Linked DNA regions of Arabidopsis thaliana. The protein of the gene in region 2 purifies or fractionates together with the protein of the main gene of each other region. This does not show direct contact. Each region holds a gene or a part of one and is shown on either strand. Other genes may lie near its edges.

What was found.
Region 1: the proteins of TAF2 (region 2) and AT5G08565 fractionate together in Arabidopsis thaliana (co-fractionation; one large-scale study listed by BioGRID). This does not show direct contact.

The regions. Positions count from the first base shown.
Region 1 is NC_003076.8:2,773,920-2,777,986, reverse strand, and holds AT5G08565 (Transcription initiation Spt4-like protein), read right to left. Parts: upstream 2,090-4,067; 5' UTR 2,024-2,089; coding exon 1,934-2,023; intron 1,854-1,933; coding exon 1,762-1,853; intron 1,410-1,761; coding exon 1,354-1,409; intron 1,120-1,353; coding exon of another isoform or gene 1,064-1,119; coding exon 1,002-1,063; intron 884-1,001; coding exon 833-883; 3' UTR 513-832; downstream 1-512. UniProt on the Arabidopsis thaliana protein: May regulate transcription elongation by RNA polymerase II. May enhance transcriptional pausing at sites proximal to the promoter, which may in turn facilitate the assembly of an elongation competent RNA polymerase II complex.
Region 2 is NC_003070.9:27,811,486-27,816,111, reverse strand, and holds the start of TAF2 (TBP-associated factor 2), read left to right. Parts: upstream 1-1,592; 5' UTR 1,593-1,678; coding exon 1,679-1,806; exon of another isoform or gene 1,807-1,953; intron 1,954-2,054; coding exon 2,055-2,388; intron 2,389-2,478; coding exon 2,479-2,624; intron 2,625-2,736; coding exon 2,737-2,803; intron 2,804-3,271; coding exon 3,272-3,471; intron 3,472-3,556; coding exon 3,557-3,710; intron 3,711-4,075; coding exon 4,076-4,160; intron 4,161-4,270; coding exon 4,271-4,362; intron 4,363-4,473; coding exon 4,474-4,599; intron 4,600-4,626. Other genes in the region: CLE13 (CLAVATA3/ESR-RELATED 13), read right to left, coding at 1-290.

The DNA.
Region 1 (4,067 bases), on a different chromosome or scaffold from region 2:
ACTCGAATTTAAAATTAATATAGAAAGGCTATTTTCTAAAAAAATCTAATTTATCTTTTTAATAACAAAATAAATTGCCTTTGACCTAAACAAAATTAAACTAAATTGCCAAGAAAATAAACGTATAGTAACGAAAATTAATATTTGCCTCTTGCCCAAATAGACTGAACGTCTTCAATTTTTCATTACTACTTGTTGTTAAGTAACCATTGTTAATTATGCATGTTACGTCCATGATTTACTCTAGCAGAAGAATATACCTTGGATCGGAAGATGATTCTTGTGTATAATTTGTTTGTTTGTACTTTGTATCCATGAATTTGTGGGTCTTATATTTTTTTGGTATAAAGACAGGCATTTTATACATTTTCCCATAGTTTTCTTCGGTTCTTTGGGAATTTCAATGGTCATATTCCAAAAACCAATAAATATCTCTCCTTGTTTCCCTCTTGGCCTGATTAAGGAGCCACTTCTTCTATCAACTGCGTAGTTGACATTTTTTCTGTGAATTATTGGTACCACACATTTCTGCTAGGTGCTCAATTTAAAGTTTCTTCATTTTGTAATTCAAATAATGTACTGAATATCACAGGAAAAGAAATCCATTCCATACTTGAAAAAAAAAATGTAATCTATCTCTATCTTCCGGATCAAATAAGAGTTTTTGATAACAATAAGAGGATCAAATCTCTCTATATTAGTTGAAATCAGAAACAAAGTACATAAAACTTAACTACTTCCATTCATAACCTCCATCGGACTAAGTTGTCTTGAAACTGACGACTTGCAGAGATGCTAATATGGAGACACTTGCTGCAACCTGCAAAAGGTTTCAAATACGTTTGGGTGGAACGTACTGCACCCGTGCTTGTTGGCATATGAACTGCCAGCGGATTTCCGCCACATACATGTGAAAAAGACGAACAGTCAATACGAAAACAGAGCTAAGGATTTGCTTATTAATCCCTTCTTAGGTTTCTAAGAGAAGTAAATATGTTTACCTGCATTTCCTCTGGGAGTGCCTCTGAGACAGCAAGAGTGTAGCAACCAGGAGCAAACTTCCCTGGAAACAAGATATTGCAATGTGTTAGATTTATTTCTCTTCTGTCTGAAACAAAGCTGGCAATATTAGGGAATACAACATCAGGTCATCAAGCCATAAACACACAGCAAATCAGAATGCAGCTACCGCTCAAATGGATGCAGACAACACAGTTAAATTCAGCACTAATATCCCCATTTATAAAGTATAATGGTGAGACAAGAATAACAGGAAACGGAAAGAAGAAGCTACACAGTATAGTAAACTCTAAAAGACAATGAGGATGATCAGGAAACAGAGCTGAAACATACCAATTCTTAACCATCTTGCTGCCCAACTTCTGCGTGGATCCATCATAGAGATTATACTGCAAAAACATTCATTATATCAATACATAATTACATGGACGTGACATCAACAAATGACAAGTATAATCAACACTAGCATCATCTCTGTTACTATTAACTCATTTTAACGTAAAGCAGCAAACTTTATGGTCATATCCACCACAGTGATTTCACAATTTGCAACGACTCATTCAACAAAAAAACGAGAGATTAGCGACCAACAATAAGTCTTCTCAATAAGTATAGACTATACGATTTAATCATAAGTATAGACTAGGTTCAGAAATTTCAATGTAACGACAAGTACGAGAGACAGACTTATGAACAGTGCCATGTAAATTTTCAAAGTAAGGATTCGAATTTAAGCCATACCCATTGAAGTTGGGAGTTGTAACATCGACGATGCGTTCATGATCGTCTTCTATTTTGAAGAAAGGACAGTTCTCGCATCCAGAATCCCTAAACTGTTGGAGAAACCAGATTAGGCAAAAAATATTCGCAAGAGAAGAAACACGCAAATCACAAGTGACAAGAGAATCCAGACCTGATCGTAGGTCTTGACGAGGCGGCATCGAAGACAAGCCCTAAGCTCGTGGCCGAAACTCGTCGGAATCTGGGCAGGCGCTTCTCCCATTGTGATTTGTCTTCAAAATCGAAATGTCTGCGAAGAACGACAACAATGTCTCCGTGTCTAATGTCTATCAATCAGTTCCGTACAAAATAGTATATAAGTACCATTAAGGTGGGCCTCAATATGGGCCCATAATGTGGTCCATAATGCAGGACTATTTCGGGAGGAGGAAACTAATTTTCTCTAAAAAGGGCCTGAAAGTCCAATAAACTAATAATCGCAAACCCATTCATATTCCATACGTTATCTGTATAACTTCGGCAACAAGATGAGTTCAATTTGTTAAAGGGTTTCAATCATTTCTACTCCTAGTGCCGTGCATAGTTTATTACTTTCTTTTCTTCAAAGAACCTTGTTTATTATTGTTCAAGCAAATTCGTGTGTATCGTCTTTGTCGTGTTTGGATAATTTTGCATTACGATTCTACCAACGGAATCACAAACGATACGTCATACGTGGCGGACCAGTCTTTGGAGAAGCTTTTTTCTTTCCGGGTTTTCATATACAAACTTCTGATGATAACATTTTTTTTTCCTACTAGCTCATTTTCTCCTATTTCCGGTCAATTAATGCGGATTTTGCACCACGCATCGGATTATAACATATGTATGATAACACGAGACTAAACGTCTAAAGCCTAAACCAATACATGCAGCTTAAGGACTAAGGTAAACGTCAAACGTGTATCGCCATCAAAAATCTTTTACCATGTCACATATTTTGTCATTCAAAGTTCACCTACCAAATACAATGCATAAAGGTTTTAAAAAGAAACCCTTAATATTTGTTTCTTCCAAGCTTTTAGTTGGATTTCTATATATTATTTGCTTTGACATTTCTTTGGCATCGTATTGATGTATAAAGGCGGCCTATGTTACATAAGATTTGAACACAATCTAAAAACACAAGACAATTCTGCCAAATCACATACCTTCCGCACCAAATATTTGTTTTCAAAGCATTCCTTTCTCTAGTCCGCCTATATATATGATTAAATTACTTGTTGAACACAACCAAATAATCCTCGAAGAATAGCATTACCGATATCATTGAAATTAACTTTTTTCTGTTTTGTTTATCTACAATCATTTCAAAACTAGTTTTCTATAAACGAAAACTTATATTTATTCCGCTTGTTCCGTTTGATCTGCTGATTCGACACCGTTTTAACGTATTTTAAGTAAGTATCAGAAATATTAATGTGAAGATAAAAGAAAATAGAGTAAATGTAAAGGAAAATGCATAAGATTTTGTTGGGACTATATATTAGATCGAGAGTAGCCTGTGATCAGCCACGCCTCTGCCCTTTGCTTCTTCTATTGCCTTCTTTTATAATATTTGTTTTGCCTTTCTTATTGAGTCTCTCTCTCCTTTTCATCTTCTTTAACGCTTCTCTTTTCCAGAACTTGCTCTCTCTCTCTCTTTCTATCATCTCCTCACCGCTTCCTAAATCTCTATAGCGGTCTTCCTTCCCTCCTTTGTTTCCGGGCTGTTCCTTAATCACTATCTCTTTCTCTTTCTTCTGCCATCGCCAAACCTTATCTGGGTTTTGCTTCTTATTTGGTAAGATTGGATTTTTCTCCCTTTTGATTTTGTCCTTCTTAGATCGTGTTAATTGATCTTCATCCCCAAGTGATCCTTCTTCTATTTAAGTTTGATGATGATTTTGACGATTTGTTTTTTTTGTTACTGCTAATCTTATTTGGGGATCCTTCTTGTAGGTGCACTGTGTCAATTTTGTGTGTTTATTGAGTAGTTTTGCTACTGACTAATTTGATTGAAATGATTGTGCGTATCTCGATTCACTGTTTTGTTTTTTTGCTTCGTCGGTGTAACAATTCAGAGGTGATTGTTTCGATTGCATTTAACTTGTCGTTTTGATCAATTGGGTTTGATTCACTTGTCTAATTGTTTTTGATGTTTGAATGCTAATCTCCTTACTATAGTCACTATCTCCTGCTACTAGATCTACATGGGAATTTGTTAATCCATTCTTTATTTCAAGGCTAAAGTTCATGTTTTTGGCATTCAAATGAAGTGAATTTTG
Region 2 (4,626 bases):
AGTCGTTTTTCAACGCCATATCTCGGGTCAATCTCGGATCCTCCCGCCGGCAAAGCTTTCCGATGATTACTCCGGCGAAGATCTTTCAAGAACGGTGTGAAGTCAAACGTTTTCACCGCCAAAGCTCTTCTTCCCGGCCGGTAGTAAAGGGCCGGCAAGGTAATAACCGGAGAAGGAAAAGGGTTTATGGGTTTGGAGCTGAAATTGCCAAACAACCCTATGGAGACGAAGATGAGAAGAGAGATCCATAGAAGAAACCCTAAGACATGTGAGACTCTAGTCGTCGCCATGGAGATTAAAGATCATAGGACCATCGAAGACATAAATGAAATATAGTGTTAATATATATACGTATACGTATGTGTGTACAGAGGGAAAGAGAAAGAGAGAGATGTGAATTGGAGACAGCGTTTTCCAACGAAGAAACTTCCTTTGCGTTCAAGGAAGAGGAGGCCTCATTAAATTTGAAGTTCGTATTAAAGTCAAACCTCTCATCATATATTATTTATTCATTATGAATTTCAAATTGTTTTTGTACAACAGCTTAATTTACAAGCAGCATAGGAAACACAGGGGAACAAAAATTAAATGATCGCTTCATGTTTTTATCTAATTTGTTAGCATATTGAATGATTGATTTTCTTTTAATTTGGATATGTTGATTGTCTTGTTGCATCATCAATGTATGTTTTATTTAACACCGGAAGATCTTATGATGGGTTCATTACTTCATAATAATCTCCGAGTTCTACAAGACTACAACTTTCACGTGACTTTTACAGCGACAAAAAATGCATCTAGCGAAAATTAATCCACAACCTATGCATTTTTGTCACTCTTCACACGCGTATGTGCATAAATATATAGTATATACTCGACAATCGATGCGTATGTGTACACAATTACCAAAACAATTATTTGAATATTCAGACATGGGTTGACATCACCAAGTAATATTCACAGTATCTGAAAACTATGTTTTGACATCCCTAAATAGTTTGACTAACCAGTTTAATATGAGAGCATTTGTAAGAGGCAAGAGCCATGGTTTTGTTGGCTCGTTTAATATGCTCATTTAACCCCCCCAAAAAATACTATTAGATTTAAACGTAAAAGAATTAACGAACACAAGAACTGCTAAAACAAAAAAAAATCAATGGCCGACATTTCATAGTTCATACATCACTAATACTAAAAGATGCATCATTTCACTAGGGTCTCATGAAATAGGAGTTGACATTTTTTTTTGTAACGACAGAAGTTGACATGTTAAGCATCAATTTTTTTAAGAGTGGATTATACTAGTTTTTTTTTTTTTTTTTAATGTATGGTATGATACAACAACAAAAACTATAAAATAGAAAAAGTCAGTGAAACCTCAAATTGAAGGAAAAACTTTTGCACAAAAAGAGAGAGAGAGAGAAAGAATGTAAATCCAAATAAATGGGCCTAATTGAGAATGCTTTAACTTTTTTTTTTTGGCTAAAAGAGAATGCTTTAACTAAGCCCATAAAATGAACATCAAACTCAAAGGGTAAGATTAATACATTTAGAAAACAATAGCCGAATATTTAATAAGTTTAAGACATAGAGGAGTTTTATGTAATTTAGGAACCGATCCATCGTTGGCTGTATAAAAAGGTTACATCTCCGGCTAACATATCGGCAAAAAAGGAACATGGCCAAGGCTCGAAAGCCGAAGAACGAGGAAGCTCCTGGCGCGAAGACTTCAGAGAACACTGGAGCTAAAGTTCTTCACCAGAAACTCTTTCTCTCTATTGACTTCAAAAAACGCCAAATCTACGGGTCCGTTTTCCTCTCTTTCTTTCGATTTTTCATTCGCGAAACAAGTCCGTGAATGTGATTTTTGGTTGATATATATAATTCGGGATGAAGAAACCGGCAGAATTTGAATCTTGCACCGACAGTATTCTTTGGATTTTTCAATTTATGGTGAATCCTCTGCTTTTGATTATTTGGGGTTTTACTTATATACCTTGGTTTTATCATTCTTGGCTGCATTTTCATGGGATATTTTTGTTGGCTTTCTATAGTTACACAGAGTTAGAAGTGAGTGTGCCAGATATTGGTATTGTGGGACTACACGCAGAGAACTTGGGAATTGAGAGTGTTTTGGTAGATGGGGAACCTACTGTATTTGAGTACTATCCGCACCATCAGAACTCTGAAACTGAAAGTAACTGGAACTCGGTCTCTGACCCAGCTTCAGCAGCTGATGCTGCGGCCATGGAATATGTCGGGGTTCTTAAGAGAGAAGACACTGCAAATTTACTGATCAACTGTTGCAAGCCTTCTAAGGATTTATCTGAACAGCTGGACAGTGTGACTTTAGAAAACGGTTCCCAATCTTCAGGGGAGGCAAAACAGGTAATTGTTCTGATTCTCATATACACTGCCATGGGTTACAAGTGACCGCTGTCCTTTGTTTAACGATTTATGTTTGCTCATATGATGCAGAATGTTAAATTGATTCGGATTAACTACTGGGTAGAGAAAATAGAGTCAGGAATTCATTTTGATGGGAACATTGTACATACTGATAACCAGATGAGACGTGCTCGTTGTTGGTTTCCTTGTATTGATGATGAGTACCATCGTTGCAGGTATTCAGTTTTGTTAAGAAGTAACACTGTATTCATCTCCTGTCTTTTGAGATCAAAGTGGGTATCACAACCTGTTTAACTTTTTTTTTTAATAACTTTGTGGTGGGTGCAGTTTCGATTTGGAATTCACTGTTCCGCACAACTTTGTGGCTGTTAGTGTTGGGAAATTACTCTACCAGGTAAGTTGTGTAAATCTGTCATACATGAATGGATTAGAGGAAGTGCTATTTTCTTCGATCCTGTATCTTACGTACAAGACATATTCCATTATAGATCTGGATTGAATGGAAAAACTTAGAAAAAGCTGTCATTCCCGTGACTTGTGGACGTAGGCATAAAATCTGCGTCCAAATTTGGTTTCAGCTTATATATGAAAGAAGCCATATCCAGTGCTGTTTAATCTGAAAGTGTACTATCTCTATTTGCAAGGAAACTTGTTCATTGTTCTGTCCTTATATTATCAGAAGATTTTGCTGTTCAGTATAGTTATCTAATGAATCTGGATCAAACAGAAGAACTTTTTCTCTGTTATTGTAGGCATATAAGCTAAAACTTTGTTGAATAGGTTTACAGTTTCCATCATTCAATTTTATTAGTACTCTTACAAGGTGGAGGGGGCGTAATCTTTAAACTTTCACACTTTTCAGGTTATGTGCAAAGAAGATACTACTCAAAAAACGTATGTTTATGAACTAGCTATTCCTATTGCACCGCGGTGGGTGTCTTTAGTTGCAGGACCATTGGAAATCCTTCCAGATCAGACCAACTTTCTCATATCTAACTTGTGTTTGCCGCATGATCTCTCGAGGCTTCGTAATACAATGGAATTTTTCCATGAAGCTTATAGGTCCGTAAATTTGTATTCTGGCAACTTATTGTAGTCAAACTGAATTAAAGTATAAGTCTTGTCTACTGGAATTCAACTTCTACAGCTACTATGAGGATTATTTAAGTGCGAACTTTCCATTTGGATTCTACAAGCAAGTATTTTTACCTCCTGAAATGGTTGTTACTTCGTCGACTTCGGGAGCTTCCTTGAGTATCTTTAGCTCCCACATACTATATGATGAGAGGGTTATTGATCAGGTATTGTTTCCTGGTAAATTGACCTGTGGGTAGATAATACCTTCATCAGACACATGCACGTAAATGGTTTGTATATGCTAATATTAGGATGGAAGGCACACCAGACCTAATTTGTATGATGCATTTTTGAAAAAAGTACAACCAAGCACGTGTCTGAGCATGTTAAATATATTTCTGCATTACCACTTATGAATATTGCAAGCTGCGTTCATCTATTTCTTGCATTTCACCCCTTCATTGGCATATGGATTTTGGTGTAGAAGTTTTCACTATGTTTATAGGAAGTTTTCTTTCTTTGGTGGTGTTTCGTCATCTTTTTAGTTCCTTTATGCAAAAATCTGATAGAGCTTCAATTATCTTTGCAGACAATAGATACACGCATTAAACTTGCTTCTGCGTTAGCAAAACAGTGGTTTGGAGTTTATATTACTCCTGAATCACCAAATGATGGTGGGCTTGTGACATTTTTCTACACTTTGATTTGCGTACGATTTGTTATATCAGCTTCATGTGAAAACATGTAATTTTGTGATTCATGATTGTCCATGTTGTTATAACAGATTGGCTCCTTGATGGTCTTGCTGGTTTCTTAACGGATATGTTTATCAAGCAGTTTTTGGGAAATAATGAAGCACGATATCGGAGATACAAGGTTTATACCTACTACTCGAGTTATTCTTCCCTGACGCCTCTGTAACCATTTCTGAACTAAGCCATGAACCTCATATCTGGATTCTCTTTTTTTTTTTTGATCCAATTGCAGGCAAATTGTGCTGTCTGTAAAGCTGATGATAGTGGTGCAATGTGCTTGAGCTCATCTCCTTCTTGCAGGGACCTATTTGGAACTCATTCTATTGGAATGCATGGGAAGATACGATCATGGAAATCAGTAAGCCATATTTTTTCTTTTCATATT